Saccharomyces cerevisiae S288C: one gene and its partners. Changing the gene in region 3 together with the main gene of any one other region gives a genetic interaction. Each region holds a gene or a part of one and is shown on either strand. Other genes may lie near its edges. The genes, in order: MNS1, GIS4, FUS2 and SIM1.

Region 1 (5,259 bases), on a different chromosome or scaffold from region 3:
TTTCAACAGTGGGTTCGATGGAGCTTCTATAAATACCGCCAGTATTTGCTCACCAGAATGTAAAATATTTTTCAGAGCGTTCATTGACGTTGAATCTCCCTGTCCCAAGAAATGTGTGTGATTGAACTTCCGAAGAATGCTCAGAGTATCTGTATATGGGAATCCAAACATGACGGTCTTCTTGAACGGAGGTCCATATCCAATCAACTTATCTTGTCTACTAGAAGACCTTGATAAGCGCTTGGCATCGAAGTTTAAAAGCAGCCTGTGGGCAGTGAAAATGGACGCCATTCCACTTGGAAATAAGTAAACATCCGTATTAGGGTTGACATGAAACTTCAAGTCATCGGTAGCTGTGTTTTCAAAAGTACTGTTTGAGCCACTTTCTCCCATAGAAGTAATTGTTTCGGCAGGTATGTCCGAATTCAACTGATCATCATCCAGAGCCTCTCCACTGCCAACATTGAATGGACCGTTGCTCTCGTTATAGTGTTCAAAAGAGAATAGGTCCGATAGACCTTCAGAGTCAATTTTTTCAACAACTTTTGTGGCAATCCTCTTTCGTATTAGATATTTGGCTTTATCAGCAGCAAGAAAATTTAAATTTCTCCCAAATCTCGTTTCTATATATTCTTCGTTCACTCTGTTTTCATCTTCGGTCATAAATTTTTTACCGTTATCCACTGTTTCCATCTTCTTAAGATTATCCTTGACTTGTAATTCATGTAAAATATACTCCGCCATTCTGCTAGATACAATCTCACCAGAATGTTGCCAATACTGCTTCATCACGGGGAATATTTCCTGGTCTACAAACACCACCGTGATTTTACATTCCCTTCTCCAGAGCTTTTCCTCTTGGTTCATAGGTTTAGGTGTACATAGTTGTAAGATGCGTACTTTGGTAGAAAGACCCGTTTTCACTTTGATAAACTCTCTGCACCTATTGGCAACCTTGTAAGAGGGGAAGCAAAGACAAGCTTCATCTTCCATGGAGTACTTAGCGGATAAAATTTCACATAATTTCTTTATTGACTTGTGTATGAAAAATCTTGGATATCCGGTAGTAAGCGAGTTAATTATACTGCTTTCACCCTCTTCATAGCCTACTGTAGCTTCCCATGTGGGCAAACACACGGAAACAGCATGTTTTGTGTTGGGCGGAATAGATTCACCAATGGTTCTAGATATCATTTTTTCTTCTGTTCCTCTTCTCTCTCTTGTTTATGTAGGTCCCGAATCGGCACATGAGCGTCATTCTACTATCGTTATATATATGGGTATATATATATATATATATCCAAAATATATGACTAATTTTTAGACCGAGATATTGTGAAGTGCAGAGGCGCTATCATGATTTTTGTTTTTTACATCCACGCATGAAGATAAGTCATATTTACTAGGTTTGAAGGGTTTTACCTGAACAACACTGGCAATCATTGAAGTTAATTGAGTTCTTAAACCGCAAGATATTTTAATATGAATACTGCTATTTTTAAATAAGACTGTAGCAAAATGTGGGGTTAAACTTTTACAAATTCACTTTGGTTGTAACGCATTTTCTGTGGAAGAGCAATTATTTGGAATTTTCAGTTTCGCCAAACGAAAGAATGAAAGAAATGTGCTTTGCCAAGAAACGAAAGACGACAGAAAAAGGTAGTAAAAGAGGAAAAGGTTAAACATTGAAAAAGGATTCTATGAAGAACTCTGTCGGTATTTCAATTGCAACCATTGTTGCTATCATAGCAGCTATATACTATGTGCCATGGTACGAACACTTTGAGAGAAAGTCACCGGGGGCCGGAGAAATGAGAGATCGGATTGAAAGCATGTTCTTGGAATCGTGGAGAGACTATTCCAAGCATGGCTGGGGATACGATGTGTATGGACCTATTGAGCACACTTCCCATAATATGCCTCGTGGCAACCAGCCGTTAGGCTGGATTATCGTAGATTCAGTGGATACCTTGATGTTAATGTATAACTCCTCCACACTATACAAAAGTGAGTTCGAGGCAGAAATTCAGAGATCGGAGCATTGGATAAACGATGTTTTGGATTTTGATATTGATGCCGAAGTGAATGTTTTTGAAACTACTATTAGAATGCTAGGTGGTTTATTATCCGCATATCATCTATCTGATGTTTTAGAAGTAGGTAATAAGACTGTCTACTTGAACAAAGCAATAGATTTGGGGGATAGGCTTGCTTTGGCGTTCTTATCCACTCAGACCGGAATTCCATACTCAAGTATAAACCTTCATAGTGGCCAAGCGGTTAAGAACCATGCAGATGGGGGGGCATCTTCTACCGCAGAATTCACTACGCTACAAATGGAATTCAAATATCTGGCGTATTTGACAGGAAATCGTACTTATTGGGAGCTGGTGGAGCGTGTTTACGAGCCATTATACAAAAATAACGATCTTCTAAATACCTACGATGGATTGGTTCCAATTTATACATTTCCAGATACTGGGAAGTTTGGTGCTTCGACTATCCGGTTCGGATCAAGAGGTGATTCTTTTTATGAGTATTTACTAAAACAATATTTATTGACGCACGAAACACTTTATTATGATCTGTACAGAAAATCCATGGAAGGTATGAAAAAGCATTTATTAGCACAATCCAAACCCTCTTCTCTGTGGTACATTGGGGAAAGAGAACAAGGTCTACATGGACAACTTTCTCCTAAGATGGACCACCTCGTGTGCTTTATGGGGGGATTGTTAGCATCAGGCTCTACTGAGGGCCTTTCTATTCATGAAGCCCGAAGACGTCCGTTTTTCTCTCTTTCCCTTGAAAGAAAAAGTGACTGGGATTTGGCTAAAGGGATAACTGACACATGTTATCAAATGTACAAGCAGTCTTCCTCGGGGCTTGCGCCTGAAATCGTTGTCTTCAATGATGGAAACATAAAACAGGATGGTTGGTGGCGGTCGTCTGTGGGTGATTTTTTTGTTAAACCACTCGATAGGCACAACCTACAAAGACCAGAAACGGTGGAATCGATTATGTTCATGTATCATTTATCTCATGATCACAAATATCGTGAATGGGGGGCGGAAATCGCAACTAGCTTCTTTGAAAATACCTGTGTTGATTGTAATGACCCAAAATTAAGGCGGTTCACCAGTTTAAGTGATTGTATCACGTTACCTACAAAGAAATCTAACAATATGGAAAGTTTCTGGTTGGCAGAGACTTTAAAGTATTTATATATATTGTTTTTAGACGAGTTTGATTTGACCAAAGTTGTTTTCAACACAGAAGCTCATCCTTTTCCAGTATTAGACGAAGAAATATTAAAATCGCAGTCTCTGACCACAGGTTGGTCGTTGTAGGTTAGTGTGCTATATAGTGGCCAGATTCGCCTTTTAAAATTCACTATGCGGTGTGATGATGTGCTATACCATTTTTTCCATGTTTAGGAAAATGAAAAATTTGCAATGCTTACTTCAGCAAAAAAGTATATTTGAATCAATATTCATTTATATATTTCAGCATAATCAATCATTTTTCGTCTGGATATTTGACACAATTTTGATTTTGACGAAGACATTTTATTCTCGATGGATATTACAGAATTGTTACAGTGCTTTGCCTGTACTTTGGACCATAACGCTGCCGTAAGAACTAATGCAGAAACACATCTTAAAAATGCAAGTAAAGTACCGGGATTCTTAGGCGCATGCCTGGATATCATTGCTGCTGATGAAGTACCAGAAAACATCAAATTATCAGCTTCCTTATATTTCAAGAATAAGATTACATACGGATGGTCTGCTGGTGCAAGACAGGGTTCAAATGAATTATTAGATTCACATGTTGATCCGGATGAAAAACCAGTAGTAAAAGATATGTTAATTAAAACAATGGTCAGTGTGTCCAAGACCTCCCCGCGTTGTATCAGAGTGCTAAAATCTGCCCTTACTGTAATTATTTCAGAAGATTACCCTAGCAAAAAATGGGGCAATTTGTTACCAAATTCCTTAGAATTACTCGCAAATGAAGACATCACAGTAACATATGTCGGACTTCTGTGTCTTGCTGAGATTTTTAGGACCTATAGGTGGAAGAATAATGATGAAAGACAGGACTTAGAAGAGTTGATTTTAAATTATTTCCCTGCTTTATTAAACTATGGCGCAAATGTCCTTTTCCAAGATGGTAAATATATGAATAACGAGCAAATTGGCGAATTGGTAAAATTAATCATTAAAATTTATAAGTTCGTTTCATACCATGACCTACCATTTACATTACAACGCTCAGAATCGTTTACCCCATGGGCATGTTTTTTTGTCAGCATCATTCAGCAGCCATTGCCTCAGGAAGTTTTGGCTATATCAGATATTGAGGTCAGAAGTAAAAATCCATGGGTCAAATGTAAGAAATGGGCTCTTGCAAACCTTTATAGACTTTTCCAGAGATACGCATCAACGTCATTAACAAGGAAGTTTCAGTACGATGAGTTTAAACAGATGTACTGTGAAGAGTTTTTGACTCAGTTTTTGCAAGTCGTCTTCGATCAAATCGAGAAATGGGGAACTGGACAGTTGTGGTTAAGTGACGAATGCTTATACTACATATTGAACTTTGTTGAGCAGTGTGTTGTGCAGAAAACAACTTGGAAACTTGTTGGGCCCCACTACAATGTAATACTTCAACATGTCATTTTCCCACTACTAAAGCCCACTGCAGAGACTTTGGAGGCCTTTGACAATGACCCTCAAGAATATATCAACCGGAATATGGACTTTTGGGATGTCGGCTATTCCCCAGATCTTGCCGCACTGGCTTTGCTAACGACATGCGTGACGAAACGCGGTAAAACGACCTTACAACCGACCTTAGAATTTATGGTCTCAACCTTACAAAGTGCCGTTGGTGATTACAACAATATTATGTTGGATAATGCCTTGCAAATTGAGTCCTGTTTGAGAATATTCTCCAGCATTATTGACCGTTTGATAACTAAAGATTCTCCATTTGCCAGTGAGATGGAAAAGTTTATATTGACATACGTTTTACCTTTTTTTAAGTCTCAGTATGGGTTTCTGCAAAGTCGTGTTTGCGATATTTGTTCGAAGTTGGGTTCTATGGATTTCAAAGACCCGGTAATAACCTCTACTATCTACGAAGGTGTTATGAATTGTCTGAATAACTCTTCTAATTCTTTACCTGTAGAATTGACAGCTGCATTGGCATTGCAAACTTTTATCAGTGATGACCAGTTTAATATGAAGTTAT
Region 2 (6,041 bases), 480 kb from region 3:
CATTCACGCTAACGTTGTCTACAAATTATTTGAGTAATATTGTAAAATCCTCCAGCTCCACCTCATCACCTGAAAAATCTGGAAAAAAAAAGTGCGAAGACATCAAGCAGCAAGATACTTCTCATAATGAAACCAAATAGAGTGCCTATATTAACAACATTTTCTTCATGTAAACAATATTGGCCGCGCTGATGACGAACGACATTCAAATGTCTAAAACGGCTAAACTTAGTGAATACATTTACAAATTCATTTCTGTTTCGGAGGGGTGACAGAATGACTATAAATTCCATGCTTAAGACTTATCGCCGATATAAGTAAATATTGAAATGAAAATTAATCACCATCGACCGACTAGAGTTCGCATAAGTATATTATCGTGTACGGTGTAAGAATATAAATAAATGACGAACGGTCGTCAAACTTAATGGGAGCTGAAACACAAGGATCCGAATTATGATAGGGTAGTGAATGGCGACACATAAGCGAATAAAGAGAGATCATAATGCTACTGTGTAGAAATATTGATCACTTCTCGTGGGTTCGTAAATCCTCGGGGAAAAACTACAGTATACTTTGTATTCGCAAAAATATTACCGTTCCAAATAATAGTATGCCAACGATTATCAGCAAGTTCATCTCATTCACAGTACCCAGAAATACGAAATGAACAACTTTACACAACGATGATTCCTTTTCTCATAATACTTTCATTCGATTCATCCTTATATATTACTCACACACATCAGTTGCTCCAAAATCTAATAACACTGTGATCCCTGTTCTACTACTCTACTTTAATTAATTCCATCTTTTAACAACCTATACTATGGAATATAATTGATAACGATTTTAATTTTTTGAACGAGTAGCCGATAGACCAATATTACCTGCTGTTAGAATCAAATATGAATATAGACAATGTAATTATGTAACCAGAAGGAATCACAAGAAAACAGAATACACAAATAATCAAGTTAGTATGGCAACTTGGCCGAGTGGTTAAGGCGAAAGATTAGAAATCTTTTGGGCTTTGCCCGCGCAGGTTCGAGTCCTGCAGTTGTCGTTATTTTTTGCCTCTTGATGGATTTTTAAGTTTTGCGCTCATGCTTGTTATGATAATAGGAGAGCGAAATGCGGTAATTTTGTTTACGTCCATAATCATTTTTTCGTTTTGAGATTATTTCGGATCGGCAAATGCATTTTTTTAGCTCTGGAAATGTTGTTTTCACTTTTTCGCTTGCTTATGTGCATCCTAGGACTTTAGTTCACACCATCGATTATTTCTGTTAGGTTACACAGCATCTTTTACGTAAATGGCATGTGGCGATTCGCCAACTGGTTTCTCCTCATCGTTCCTAGCGCGGGGCTGACGGCCTTCCTCTGTGTTTTCAGGTAGTATCATCGCTATCGCACTCCACCAGCTACGAAGCCGGTGCAGGCAGAAACATTACTTGCATAGTAATACACGAAATTTATTTACTTTAAACCTTTATATCGAATTTATATCCCTAAACATTGAATTCTTCTCTTTTTTTTTCTTTTTTTAATTAGTTTTTTTCCTATTGTAGTTTTTTCCATCGCAAGCTAGATAAATATCTTCAACTTATTCACTTTGGCAGGACCAGATTTAACTGACTTGTGTAGCTAAGGAACGTGAAGGCTGAACAACAGCGGGAACTAAGTGCAGAATATATCGGCAGAAGTTTTGCAGAAATAACCCCTCATTAACACTCACTCTCATCCTTCAACTGCTCGAAAGACGGTTAACAAAAACCATCAAAAAGCACTCTGTTACTTAAATATAATGCAAAAATCCGTTAGAGTGGGCGACTATTTTGACAATGATGACAATGGTTTGTGGTCGTGGTACTTAACAAACCTCAGATTAGGCGATTTTGAAGAACTTATAGGCAATCAATTAAAATACACTCTGTTAAAAAGATTTCTGAATAGTCATTTTTATGGTGATAACAATATTTCGGCCAGGCCAAACAAGAAGATTTTGTTAGTTTCCATCCCAGAGAATGTTCATGAAGATATCTCCATATTGGAAATCTTCCTCAAAGATTACTTTCATCTGGAAAAATTAGAACACATTCAAATCTCAAAATTAACTCACTCCCACTGCTACAATCATGAAAATCATTACCTATTGACGGACAACCTCAACAATTTCCAAGACCCTACCTTTTTAGAATTTGCGAGTACAAGTTGGCAAGTTCAAAAAAATTCCAAGGCTTTAAACAATAACAATAGAAATTCAATACCACCACCCACAATATCTTCATCAAAAGCTTCAAACGGGAAGCTAGAATCAAACGTTTCGGATGATCAGTGGTCAAATATAAATACCCAGACTTCAACAGCTACCCGAACTAATACGAATACGAGGACTTTGACATCTCCGGACACAGTTGATATAAACGTTACATCCGTGAATAGTCAAAGCAATAATAATGATACGCCTCAAGATAATGAAAACGAAGTTGATGAAGAGGATGCCACAAGTTCTATAGTCCTAAATTTTTCTCATTCGCGAACAGTAGATTCAAAGCCTAATAGACTACCCAAAATTTTTCCATCATACACTAATGAAGACTATACACCGTCACATTCCGAGATAATGTCAATAGATAGTTTTGCTGGCGAAGACGTATCATCCACATATCCCGGACAAGACCTGAGTTTAACTACTGCCAGGCGCGAGGATGAAAGTGGTCAGGATGAAGTTGAGGATCATTATAGCAGAGTCTCACATGATCTAGGTGACGAGAGTATCGATCAAGCAAGTTATAGCATGGAAAGTTCGGTCAGCTACACTAGCTATAGTAGTAGCAGTAATAGTAGTAGTGCCCACTACAGTTTAAGCAGTAGCAGCCGAGGTAATCCAAAACGTGAAAACATCGATCACACGAATGCCACCTATGTCTCTGAATTGTCAAGTATAACGAGTTCTATAGACAATTTAACTACTTCGACAACCCCAGAGGAGGAGGATAATTTAATTCATCATAACTATGACGCCCAAGGGTATGGATCAGGAGAGGACGATGGAGAAGAGGTTTATGATGATGAAGATCTTTCTTCTTCCGATTACTCAGTACTATCCATTCTACCGTCAATCTCAATTTGTGATTCTCTAGGGTATTTTAGGCTAGTTTTGCAATCTATATTAATTCAGGATCCAGACACCAAAGAAATTTTTACTGCGATTAGACAGTCAAACAATAAACCTACAATGGCAAGCGTTACCGATGATTGGTTGCTGTATGATTCCAATTTTTCAATGAATAATTTACAAATTCTAACACTTCAAGATTTGCTAGATATCAAGAGATCATTTCCAAAAATTTTATTTTACACAATGGTTATTGTGACAAACTCCGGCAAACAGGTTGAAGAAGAATTCAAAAATCCCAATTATGATAATAGGGAAGGAATATCAAAAGAGCAACCTCTAGATTCTGAGTTATCATTAACTAACGACCCGCAACAATATTTCCCGACTGCATATAATAACGGTTACAACGACTATATTGACGATGAAGACGATGAAGACGATGGTGACGATGCTTCTTTATCAGAACAGTCAGGCCCACAAATGTACATACCAACTAGAATGGAATCTAACGTTACTACAGCACATCGTTCTATTAGAACCGTAAACAGTATCGGGGAATGGGCATTCAATAGACATAATTCTGTTACAAAAATCGATAAAAGTAATAGTAACGAGTTGGATAACTCTAAAACAGGTGAAAGTACAGTTTTATCAAGTGAACCTCATCCAATGACACAACTGTCGAACTCTAATACGACTTCCTCGAATTTTAGCCATTCTTTGAAGACAAAAAATTCTCACAAACCTAATTCCAAGGGTAACAATGAAAGTAATTCCAAAAATGAGTTGAAAAAGATAAAGAGTTCCATCAATGCTATGAGTGCCGTGGAAAGGTCCAAAAGTTTGCCTTTACCTACATTACTAAAGTCTTTAAGCGGCATAGATAACCCTACTCATGCCACTAACAAGGATAGAAAGCGTTGGAAATTCCAGATGAATAGGTTTAAGAATCATAAAAACAGTGGTTCTGCAGGTACGGATAAATCTCAGCGTTGTGCCATCATGTAAAGAATACTTTACCACTATATATAGATATATATATATACTTGTATTATAATTATAATCATTATTGGTACTATTGCACTTACCAGTTTCTATATTGACATTGAAGGTGATACAGAGAATTCATACATAGTCTAAATATATTTAAAGTATAGGTTGTGTACATAAAAAAATACCGAGGTGATACAATCTACCTACTTTCGGCGAAAAGGCGAAGCAAGGTAAGTTAAAAAAGTTTAATTGTAACATTATAGAAAAAGTTCTTTCGGTTACCCAGTTTTCCATAAAGTTCCCGCTTTAGTTCATATGCTTATTCAAAGCTAATTGAACGTCTTCTGCATTGATGACAACCCCTCTTTCTGAACATTTTGCCTTTGCCATTAGCTCGGAACATAAACCATCGACATCAATATCTGAGTATTTCGGATGTGTTGTTATTCTATCCCAAATTTCCGAACACCTTAGTAAAGAGCCTTCCTTAGATGGAACGACATCATTATCATTATCGTTATCATTGCCATTATTGATTTTGTCAGCATTCTGTAAACTACTGCCATTTTTTTGTGAGATTTCGCTTTCATTTCCTGGTACCGATTGTAGATATTGTTTCGGAAGCTCTGGTTCTTCGTTAATTAACTGGTTCTTGATTAAACTTGACTCATCGTCTGACATATTAGCGGCTTTTTTGTCATCATCGTCATCCTCTAAAAACTCTCCAAATAAATTGTTACCTTCCTTCGATGAATCTCTAAAAAACATGTCGTAGTCAAACTTATTTTGAGATTGAGATTCAGAGAAAGGTTGTAATTGAATATTAGTTGAATTGTCGTCTGGGAAAGCCAGATTTGCGTTGATAAAAGGTATATCCTCTTTGCTGCTTTGCAGTAGGCTGGGATTGGTGTTAGAGGCAGCATTATTGCCGATGCCGGTAGATCCCGGACTAAAAAAATTAGTAACTTGGTTCATATCAAACGGTGACTCGGATATGAATGGGAGTACATCATCGCTATTATTATTGTTCTTTTTGTTCTTATTGCCAGTGCTACCAGTGCTATCAGTGCTACCAGTGCTATTATCATTCACGACGTAATGATTGGCACTCATATCGAAACCAAGTCGGCCAAAACCGGAGAAGGAATTTTCATATTTAGTAGCATCAGTAGCAATGACATTAGCAGGAGTATTATCTGTAATATTAGAATGTGATTCCCAAGTATTTGTTAAAGCAGGAGAATTTGAACTTAGTATAGAAGATGACGCGAAAACTTCTTTATCAAGAGCCGAGATGGGTTTCTTGGGAATGGGACATTGCCTTGTTCCACATACCTGGTTCATTTTCGAACAAAACTCCGAAACTTGTTCATCAAATTGGTTTTCAAAATTAAAGTCATTAGAAAACATATTACTGTCTAAATTCTTAGTTTTACTATTGCTGCCATCATCACCTGACACAAACCTGTTAGTATATATTACATTATCTAACCAATCCATCGAAGTGGAGGAGTTTGGTGTGTTATTAAGAACATCGTTACTATTTGAAAGGGAATCCAAAGTAGCGCTGGAGGAATCTGTAGCGTCACTTAATTTCTTTTGTGTCTGATTTATAGGCATAGGAGCCGAATGACTTGGATCATTTGGTGAAGGTAATTGTTTCCCCACATTTTTACTGTTGTCGTTGTCGTTGTCGTTATCAAGCGGATATTGAAACGTGAAATTCATCTTTTGTTTAACATTTTCTTGTATGTCATCATTGGGTGTGTCAATTGGCTCGCTATTGCTGTGGTTAACGTTATTTTTTGAAAAATGCAAATTAGGATCTCGCCTTGCTAAATATTCCAGCACTTTTGAGTCATTTCTTGTCTCTGGTCTATATTTTTTTAACTCATTCACCAGAGTGATTAACTGGTCCCTCAAA
Region 3 (5,839 bases):
ACGTTTTTTTATTCAGATAACGATTTTTTTGATTTAGATTTAATCTTAGAGCTTATGAAAGAGTCAGATTTTAAGCGTCTCTCATACAGACTTGCAAAGAAGTATTCAAAGGATTCATTAATTATTGTGGATATTTTATTGAATCTATTGCATAACCCTGTAAAAGCCATAAAATACATAAAAAGTTTACCAATTGATGAAACCCTAAGATGCCTTGTGACGTACTCGAAAAAATTACTGGAGGAGTCACCGAATGAAACTAATGCTTTACTGATAGAAGTATTTACAGGGAAGTTCAAACCATCCACTTTTGAAGTGGATCTGGACCGGAGAGATACGACGGGCGATTTTTCTGAAAATATTAGAACAGTTTTTTACAGTTACAAAACATTCTTCAACTACATGAACTCAAATGGTACATCAGACGCAATGAGCGAGTCTTCAGAGGCATCCCACGAACATGAAGAGCCTACTTATCATCCGCCGAAGCCATCCATTGTTTTCAGTTCATTCGTTACAAAACCTTTTGAATTTGTTGTTTTCTTAGAAGCCTGTTTGGCATGTTACCAGCAGTATGAGGGTTTTGACGAAGATAGGCAAGTAATTTTGACTACTTTATATGACTTATATTTGAATTTGGCGCAAAATGATGTACCCGAGCGTATAGACGACTGGCGTTCAAGAGCAACTGGCGTATTGCGTGAGAGCAATAAATTGGTGTATTCTGCCGCAAGTAATAATACTAGCAAAAGGGTGGATAACTCAATAATGCTGTTAATTTCCCATATGGATCAAAGTAGTGCTTCAGCAAAAGATAAGACGAAAATTGACATAGCTTCATTTGCCAATGATAACCCCGAGATGGATTTGCTGAGTACATTTAGGGCTATGACGTTAAATGAAGAACCAAGTACTTGTCTCAAATTCCTAGAAAAATATGGCACAGAGGAACCCAAGCTCTTACAAGTAGCATTGAGTTACTTTGTTTCTAATAAACTAATCTTCAAGGAGATGGGCGGTAATGAAGTACTGAAAGAAAAAGTATTGAGGCCAATTATAGAGGGGGAAAGAATGCCACTGTTGGATATAATTAAAGCGCTATCCCGTACAAATGTAGCCCACTTTGGGCTGATACAAGACATCATTATTGATCATGTCAAAACCGAAGATACAGAAATCAAAAGGAACGAAAAACTAATTGAATCTTACGATAAAGAGTTAAAGGAGAAAAACAAGAAGTTGAAGAACACCATTAATTCAGATCAACCTCTCCACGTACCCCTGAAGAATCAAACGTGTTTCATGTGTAGACTGACATTGGATATTCCTGTAGTTTTTTTTAAATGTGGTCACATTTACCACCAACATTGTCTAAATGAGGAAGAAGATACTCTAGAAAGCGAGAGAAAGCTCTTTAAATGTCCCAAATGCTTGGTGGACTTAGAAACCTCCAACAAACTTTTTGAAGCTCAACACGAAGTAGTTGAAAAGAATGATCTTTTGAATTTTGCATTAAACAGTGAAGAAGGTAGTAGAGACCGTTTCAAAGTCATAACAGAGTTTTTAGGTAGAGGTGCCATCAGTTATTCTGACATCACTATTTAATGATGGATCATAACGATCTATTGTCGCCGCCGCGTCACAAATGCGCCCCGAACTTGTCGCGAAGTTAATCTGAAACATATATGTTACCTACTGAAACAGCGCATGTTGGAAAAGACAAAGGTGAAGACGAAGTTGTATATTTAAGATAGACCCTTTATACATCCTTTTGAAAAAATTATTAATGTGGCAACCGTCTTTTATTTGACAAAGTATCTTTTTTCTTTGTGAAACCAATTTTAGGTTTTCTTGTTATAGTAAGTTCTTAAGAAAAAGACAAGAAAACCCCTTGCGATGTTTAAGACTTCATATAACTTGTACGATTTGAACTATCCGAAAAATGATTCATTAACGCCAATAAGAGACTACAAAAATGACTATTTTCATAAAAATGATGACAAATTACCAGAAATTGTTAGAAAACCTACGAGAAAGTTATCGAAACATGAAAACAAACTCAACGATAAAAAATTCACGAATAAACGACCAGCAAGTCTGGACTTGCATTCTATAGTGGAGAGCCTGAGCAATAAAAAAATTTACTCTCCTATTAACACAGAGATATTTCAAAATGTCGTGAGACTGAATTTGAGCCCTCAGATTCCCAATTCTCCTCACGAGGGATGCAAATTTTATAAAATCGTACAGGAGTTTTACCTCTCTGAAGTGGAATATTACAATAATTTGTTAACCGCAAATAACGTATACAGAAAGGCATTGAATAGTGATCCAAGATTCAAGAATAAACTTGTCAAGCTTGATTCAAGTGACGAGCTATTGCTTTTTGGGAACATTGACACTATTGCGTCAATCAGCAAAATACTGGTAACGGCAATAAAAGACCTACTTTTAGCCAAGCAACGTGGGAAAATGTTGGATGCGAATGAATGGCAAAAGATATTCACCAAAAATGAGGTACAACAGCAGCTATATTCAACTTTTGATATTTCAGAGGCGTTCGAGCAACATTTGTTAAGAATCAAATCCACCTACACAAGCTATTTTGTTAGCCACCAAAAACAAATGGAACTATTTACTACATTAAGGATGAATAAGAATCATTTTTTTAACAAGTGGTATGAATATTGTTTAAAAGAGAGTGGATGTATAAAGTTAGAGGACATATTGAAAAGCCCGATGAAAAGACTGACTCAGTGGATTGATACTTTGGAAACTTTGGAAAGCTGTTACGAAGATATTCTTTCGCCAGAATTGGGCTTGAAACTAAGCCCGACAAGAAGAAAATATTCTTTATTTTCCAATAAGTTAGAAACCGAGGTCTCCGAGTATAAGAGTAATTCCATGTATAATTTCAGTTTAACCCCATCAGAGATTATACAAAGTTATGATGAAGATCAGTTTACACACCTTTTAAAACCCCCAGACAAACAAAATAAAAATATATGTAATGCATCTCGACAAGAGAGTAATTTGGATAATAGTAGAGTTCCTTCTCTTCTTTCTGGATCATCGAGTTACTACTCAGATGTATCAGGGCTAGAAATTGTCACTAATACTTCAACTGCCTCAGCTGAGATGATAAATCTAAAAATGGATGAAGAAACAGAATTTTTTACATTGGCAGATCACATCAGTAAATTCAAGAAAGTAATGAAAGGTTTGTTAGAATTAAAAAAGAATTTATTGAAAAACGATCTGTCAGGCATTATTGATATCAGTTTAAGAAGAATAAATGCATGGAAAAAGGTGATCGAGTGCGAACGCCCTTCTGGTGCATTTTTTGCGCACGATAACTTAATATCGACCATGTGTTCTTCGTACATAGATAAACTGCATGAACAAAAAAATCAAGTAACAATTTTGAAACTCACAGAGCTCGAAACAGATGTGATGAACCCACTTGAAAGAATCATAGCCCATTGTACTACCGTTAAAAGCAAACTAAAAGATTTGCAAGCTTTGAAGAAAGATTACATGTTATTTTTACAAGAAAAAAAAGCAAATGTGCGAGATATTAAACGTGACTTGTTGGGAATGCATTTCCAAAACCTGCAAAACCAGATGAAAAGGGAATTACCGGTCTTTATTACTTTGATCCACGATACTATCGAATGTATCTTGTTGAACTATATCAAAGTCTTCTTAAAATATTTGGAAATCATTGCTGGTGGAAAAAAATACCTGCAAAAAGATCTTGAAAATATGTCTCTTAATGACTCTATAGCTACCGGCCAAATTAAAAATCTTGATATTTTGCAGTGTTATTCTAAATCACGATATATGACAAAACGCATGGTAAGAAAAGATTGGCCTTTCCCTGGAGACCCTAGTGGAAGCCGTGTTGTCAGAAAACTTTTCGAACTTTAACAAAAGAGTATATTTAGCTTATAGTTTTTAGAATGTTTTGTTTTCTTTTTTATTAAAGTAGTACTACTGCGCTGGAGCAGTATATATGTTGAACTATAGTCAGTCACCTATAATTTGTTTGCTGGCGCGAAGGAGAAAGAAAATTTTAATTAATTCATGAAAAGCCTTAAGAAAAAGTTTAAGAGGAAATGAGCAAATAGAAGGCAAATAGAGGGTGAAAGCATTATGGCCGACATCAATAAATATATTCCGATGGTTGACGCTATTTTGAGCGTATCCAACCCCGATGAAATAAGCCCAAAAAGGGTGAGGAAAGCCCTGCAAATTCTCTATTCAGTTAATTTGGATTCACAAAGAAAGTTAATTAATGAATTGATTCTTGAGAGGTTCGGCGATATACAAGAAAACCCAAGAGTCTTAATTCCGAAGAACGACCTCATTAGTCGGGATCAAGAACTATCTTTGAGGTTACAGAAGGAAGAAGAAAGACCCTTGAGGTCTACGAGGAAAAGGAAAGGTAAAAGTGAAAGTAAATCTAAAAGGAAGAAGAAAAAGAATGATAGTCCTGATTCCAACAGCATTTCCGTCCGCAAAGTTCTGTTGTCAGCTCCTTTACAAAAGTTTCTAGGATCTGAAGAACTGCCACGAACGCAAGTAGTGAAGATGATATGGCAGTATATCAAAGAGCATGATCTTCAAAACCCAAAAGATCGTAGAGAAATTCTATGCGATGAGAAGATGGAACCAATTTTTGGCAAAAAAATGACGATGTTTTCAATGAATAAACTCTTAACTAAGCACTTGTTTAATCCCGATGAAATTGTGAAACATGAAGAGGAACAAAAGCAAACACCCGAAAAAGAAATCAAATTGGAAAACGAATCTCTTCCCAATTTAAGCGGTTGATCTTGGCTGTAGCACTTATACAAATTTAATGATTTTTTTTCCTCTTTGATGACATGTATAAAGCACACTGCACCTACTGTATTGTACTTGAAACAGGTAAATTAACAATTAATGTAGCATTAGTAATAAATAATTTCACTTCACGGCGTTAAAGAAATACTATGGCAAATTCGATTTGAGAATTTCGTCAAATTCTGATGATATCAATTAATGGCATATTTTTTTTATTTTTTATCTGGAGAAAAAAATGTAAAAATGACAGCAGCATCAACAATGAATAAAAGCAAGTACAATAGTCGTAAAGATCTATATTAATTTCATGGCAGCACAATAATACACGTTGTTTAAATTAGTTAAAGTGTCACTCCTTGCTTATCGAAGGAACTATCGATTCCTAATTATGGCAAGGCAAGGGAACTTCTACGCGGTTAGAAAGGGCAGGGAAACTGGGATCTATAATACATGGAATGAATGTAAAAACCAAGTTGATGGTTATGGTGGTGCAATTTATAAAAAATTTAACAGCTACGAGCAAGCGAAATCTTTCCTAGGTCAACCAAATACTACATCAAACTATGGAAGTTCAACGCATGCTGGAGGGCAAGTTAGTAAACCTCATACCACTCAAAAGCGAGTTCATCGAAGGAATCGGCCACTTCATTATTCCTCCTTGACATCGTCATCAGCATGTTCATCTTTAAGCTCTGCTAATACAAATACCTTTTATTCAGTAAAGAGTAATGTTCCAAATATCGAGAGTAAAATCTTTAACAATTGGAAAGACTGTCAAGCCTATGTCAAGCATAAAAGGGGTATAACCTTCAAGAAGTTTGAAGACCAATTAGCTGCGGAAAACTTCATTAGTGGTATGAGTGCGCATGATTACAAGCTCATGAATATATCCAAAGAAAGTTTTGAATCTAAGTATAAGCTTTCTAGCAATACCATGTACAACAAGTCTATGAACGTTTACTGTGATGGTTCAAGTTTTGGAAACGGCACG
Region 4 (5,017 bases), on a different chromosome or scaffold from region 3:
TCTTTTTAAAATTATTTAATTTAACGTTTTATTTATGTGAACCTTTTTTTATTAGTTGTATTTACTATTTATTCAAGAATCATTCTTTACTTTATATTGATATCGTTTTTTTCCCCCTACTTCCTCCTCTGGTGTATTCACAGCTAGGTGCTTCTCTTGTCCTCATCCGGTGGAGAAAAAAAGTGAAAAATAAGTCAATGGAAAGGGGGAAGGGGGTAGGTAAATAGAGTGAATAAGTTTTATTCATCATGCCCAACTTCTATTAATATATACTCAATTCAAATATTGATCAGGATTTCAAAGAGTATGTCGGAGTTACAGTCACAACCTAAAAAGATTGCCGTTGTTACAGGCGCCTCAGGTGGTATTGGATATGAGGTAACGAAGGAATTAGCCAGAAATGGCTATTTGGTTTATGCATGTGCAAGAAGACTAGAACCAATGGCACAATTGGCCATCCAATTTGGTAACGATAGTATCAAACCATATAAGTTGGATATTTCCAAGCCAGAAGAAATTGTAACATTTTCTGGTTTTTTGCGAGCTAATTTACCTGATGGTAAATTAGATTTATTGTACAACAATGCCGGTCAGAGTTGTACATTCCCTGCATTGGATGCAACAGATGCTGCAGTAGAACAATGCTTTAAGGTCAATGTGTTTGGTCATATCAACATGTGCCGTGAATTGTCGGAGTTCCTTATTAAAGCGAAAGGAACCATTGTCTTCACTGGTTCCTTGGCAGGAGTTGTGTCATTCCCCTTTGGTAGCATTTATTCCGCTTCTAAAGCTGCTATCCACCAATATGCTCGTGGGTTACATCTAGAGATGAAGCCCTTCAACGTGAGAGTGATTAACGCTATTACTGGCGGTGTGGCTACTGATATCGCTGATAAAAGGCCCTTGCCTGAAACCTCAATATACAACTTCCCTGAAGGTAGGGAAGCTTTTAATTCAAGAAAAACCATGGCTAAGGACAATAAGCCCATGCCAGCTGATGCGTACGCAAAGCAACTGGTTAAAGATATCTTGAGCACTAGTGACCCTGTAGATGTTTATAGAGGAACGTTCGCCAACATCATGCGTTTTGTCATGATATTTGTTCCTTACTGGCTATTGGAAAAAGGACTTTCCAAAAAATTTAAATTGGACAAAGTTAATAATGCTTTGAAGTCGAAACAGAAGAATAAGGACGATTAGTGTTTCACCATCGTCAATAGCTACCTATATTTATATACAAGATTCCGTATAGTTTGTACACCACGTCAGGACATCAATAGCTAATAATCGTTCTAATGCTAATGTTCAACTGCTCTTTAAGTATTGTTTACGTCTCGTCGTACCAGTATGCCAAATTCCTGTCACTTCACTCATTCTCTTTGCTCTTACCGTTTGAAACGCGCTGGGACGGAATTCGCTCATTTCGCATCGTGCTTTGTTGTTTTTTTTTTTTCAAAATTGCCATTGTTTATTTATAAACTACATGAAATTATTCTGTATTTATCTTCGCATTCCCTCTCTTACTTCAAAAGTGAGAACAGCATATTCAAATATATATATCTACTCAGTTGAATAAGACACTATAGCAAGACCATTTGAACTGAAAGAAACAGTTTCTTTGCTCCCCTCTCGAATTCCAACTATTTACAGTCCTTCCTTTATAAAAATTAACTAGCGAGCAAGAAAACATTTGTTTAGTGCTACCCAACTACTTACATTCCTTTAAAAACCACAATATTTAAGTTAACCTGAGCTTTATTTTTAGTAAGTTATTTACCACAATTTTTCTCATACACCTTTACAATCCGTATTGCCATGAATACCAAGGCTTGCTCAGCTTCTGCAGCAGTTCAACCCTTTCCAATACCGCCAATGCGTCCTCAAAACGTTAGTTTAGTCGTGCTCAACCGCTATTTTTGGTTTTATCTTCGTTTCTTTCTCCTGAACGACATTCGTCACGAAAATTGCGGCGGAAAATTTCCTGATGCGGACACTTTTTCCCGATCCGGACATGCCTTTTTTTGGCGTTTCGCGTCAGTCAATAGAAGTTTCAGATCTACATTAGGAAGAACCAGAAAATAGCCATTAATGCTTTCAGCATAGCACAGCATAGCAGCTGTGTATATCTTAAATAAGATGTAGACTGGTTTGCATTTGGAAAGGTTTTGTGTAAGAAAAGCAATACTTGAGGTAAAACAAGAGAAAAAAAAACACTTTACTAACTAATATCCAATCCTTTATTTTTTTGCAGAAATGAAATTCTCAACTGCCGTTACTACGTTGATTAGTTCTGGTGCCATCGTGTCTGCTTTACCACACGTGGATGTTCACCAAGAAGATGCCCACCAACATAAGAGGGCCGTTGCGTACAAATACGTTTACGAAACTGTTGTTGTCGATTCTGATGGCCACACTGTAACTCCTGCTGCTTCAGAAGTCGCTACTGCTGCTACCTCTGCTATCATTACAACATCTGTGTTGGCTCCAACCTCCTCCGCAGCCGCTGCGGATAGCTCCGCTTCCATTGCTGTTTCATCTGCTGCCTTAGCCAAGAATGAGAAAATCTCTGATGCCGCTGCATCTGCCACTGCCTCAACATCTCAAGGGGCATCCTCCTCCTCCTCCTCCTCCTCGGCAACTTCTACCCTAGAAAGCAGCTCTGTTTCTTCATCTAGTGAAGAAGCTGCTCCAACATCTACTGTCGTGTCAACTTCTTCCGCAACCCAATCTAGTGCTTCTTCTGCCACTAAATCTAGTACTTCTTCCACTTCACCATCTACTTCTACTTCTACTTCCACTTCTTCTACTTCCTCTTCCTCTTCCTCCTCCTCCTCCTCTTCTTCTTCTTCTTCTGGCAGTGGTAGTATCTACGGTGATTTGGCCGACTTTTCAGGCCCAAGTGAGAAATTCCAAGACGGCACTATTCCATGTGACAAATTCCCATCTGGTCAAGGTGTCATTTCTATTGACTGGATTGGCGAGGGTGGATGGTCCGGTGTGGAAAACACCGACACTTCCACTGGCGGTTCATGCAAGGAGGGGTCCTACTGTTCCTACTCCTGCCAACCAGGTATGTCTAAGACCCAATGGCCATCCGATCAACCATCTGACGGTAGATCTGTCGGGGGTTTGTTGTGTAAAAATGGTTATTTGTACCGTTCTAACACTGACGCGGATTACTTATGTGAATGGGGTGTCGAGGCTGCCTATGTTGTTTCTAAACTAAGCAAGGGTGTCGCCATTTGCAGAACCGACTACCCGGGCACTGAAAACATGGTTATCCCAACCTATGTTGAAGGGGGTAGCTCTTTGCCATTGACCGTTGTTGACCAAGATACTTACTTTACTTGGGAAGGCAAAAAGACATCTGCTCAATACTACGTTAATAACGCCGGCGTCTCAGTTGAAGATGGGTGTATCTGGGGTACTTCTGGATCTGGTATTGGTAACTGGGCACCATTAAACTTTGGTGCTGGCTCCACTGGTGGAGTGACATACTTATCATTGATTCCTAACCCAAACAACAGCGACGCATTGAACTACAACGTCAAGATAGTTGCTGCTGATGATTCATCCAATGTCATCGGTGAATGTGTTTACGAAAATGGTGAGTTCTCTGGCGGTGCTGACGGGTGTACCGTCTCTGTTACTTCCGGTAAAGCTCATTTCGTCTTATACAATTAAGCTACGTGACTACTACTTTTCCTTTTTTTTTTCTTTTTTCGAACACATCTCACCCCCTATACCTCACACAATCACTATGGTCCCCTTTTCTTTTTACCGATATTTATACTGTCCACCTTTTTCTTTTCGTTAATGGCCTCAATGTTTCTGTACCATTATCCAAGTGAACTTGTTAGACGACCAAATATAGCCAAGATTCATTACGATTATCTTTAACTAGCAAGTAGTATTCTTGGATAGAGAGATTTTCAAAGACGGAACAATTTTAAATAGATTTACATAAGAAAACACATACTGTCCGATACCCATAAGAAATTTAAGAACTCTTTTCATCTTCAGCTTTCCGGCCTCCTTTTACTGTAGCCTGTTCCTAGACAGCTAAAAATAGTACATATGCAGCTCTGCAATAGTCTCAAAGGGGATATTGTGTAGGTTTACGAAATCATCACATTTCCGAATCAGGACATGAAGGCACAACTTTCCGCACGTAGTGTTTTCAGCCCCCAGCGCCTGTCGGCGCGAAGAGGATCTGCGGAGATGAGCTTTGCCCCGCCATTACCCGTAAAATATTACTGTTTTGGGCAATTGTGGATCAAAAAGGGAAAATGCGGATGGTGAAAAAAATTTTTGGAAATTTACTGCTTCAGATGGGGGAACTTTGTAAGTTCTTCCTTTTTTTTCGTAGAGGTTGGAAAATTCAGAGTGCTAAGAAATTAAAAGGTATGCACTGCCTATTCTCATAAAAGCAAAAGTGCACAAAAATAATAAGGTGTGAAGCAATAGTAGAAAAGACACTGGGAACCCAAGGTATCTTATTTTAACAGATAAGTAAAACTAAGATCAAATCGCGTACTGATATCACTTAAGGTTCGCGTATTTTAAAGGCTACGCAGAAGAGGAAATAAATTGCGTGCAATCCCTGCGCTTAACTCATACAAAAAGGCGCAAAACATTTCAAGAGTCCCACGATTAATTGCAGAAATTGAAAAAAAATAAGTAAAGACGAAAATCAAAGTGGATGCCATATTATGAAGCAGGAGCCACATAGACAATCCGAAGAAAAAGAGAAGCCGAAAGGACCAATGGCTGTTGAACGAGAGCAGCATACCTCATTATCTTCTGGTACAACCGTGACAGCTAGTACAGGAGACGAGAGTACCAACAGTAGACCAGTGGAATCATCGCAAACAGAAAAGTCTCTATCGCTTCGAATAAGAATATTAAAACAACTTGGGTTTGACGATATTCAAGAACTAAATGCATGCGACACTGGCCTAGTGGAGCAATTTTTAAACGTACGATTGATAAACGACACAAAAGAACTAGAAAAGAT

What was found.
Region 1: mutations in FUS2 (region 3) and MNS1 together harm fitness more than expected from each alone (negative genetic interaction), as found in Saccharomyces cerevisiae (2 studies listed by BioGRID).
Region 2: mutations in FUS2 (region 3) and GIS4 together harm fitness more than expected from each alone (negative genetic interaction), as found in Saccharomyces cerevisiae (2 studies listed by BioGRID).
Region 4: mutations in FUS2 (region 3) and SIM1 together harm fitness more than expected from each alone (negative genetic interaction), as found in Saccharomyces cerevisiae (2 studies listed by BioGRID).

What each region holds. Positions count from the first base shown.
Region 1 is NC_001142.9:665,944-671,202, forward strand, and holds MNS1 (mannosyl-oligosaccharide 1,2-alpha-mannosidase), read left to right. Parts: upstream 1-1,700; coding exon 1,701-3,350; downstream 3,351-5,259. Other genes in the region: STR2 (cystathionine gamma-synthase), read right to left, coding at 1-1,194; NMD5 (Nmd5p), read left to right, coding at 3,579-5,259. UniProt on the Saccharomyces cerevisiae protein: Involved in glycoprotein quality control as it is important for the targeting of misfolded glycoproteins for degradation.
Region 2 is NC_001145.3:254,183-260,223, reverse strand, and holds GIS4 (Gis4p), read left to right. Parts: upstream 1-1,807; coding exon 1,808-4,132; downstream 4,133-6,041. Other genes in the region: TRM12 (tRNA(Phe) (4-demethylwyosine(37)-C(7)) aminocarboxypropyltransferase), read right to left, coding at 1-3; DNA-binding transcription factor YAP1, read right to left, coding at 4,424-6,041.
Region 3 is NC_001145.3:735,030-740,868, forward strand, and holds FUS2 (Fus2p), read left to right. Parts: upstream 1-1,896; coding exon 1,897-3,930; downstream 3,931-5,839. Other genes in the region: tethering complex subunit PEP5, read left to right, coding at 1-1,605; TRI1 (Tri1p), read left to right, coding at 4,156-4,836; RNH1 (RNA-DNA hybrid ribonuclease), read left to right, coding at 5,237-5,839. UniProt on the Saccharomyces cerevisiae protein: Promotes cell fusion during zygote formation.
Region 4 is NC_001141.2:125,898-130,914, forward strand, and holds SIM1 (putative glucosidase SIM1), read left to right. Parts: upstream 1-2,253; coding exon 2,254-3,684; downstream 3,685-5,017. Other genes in the region: AYR1 (acylglycerone-phosphate reductase), read left to right, coding at 307-1,200; POG1 (Pog1p), read left to right, coding at 4,713-5,017. UniProt on the Saccharomyces cerevisiae protein: Involved in the remodeling of the cell wall during the various phases of yeast culture development and under various environmental conditions. Required for the maintenance of the CLB5 kinase activity.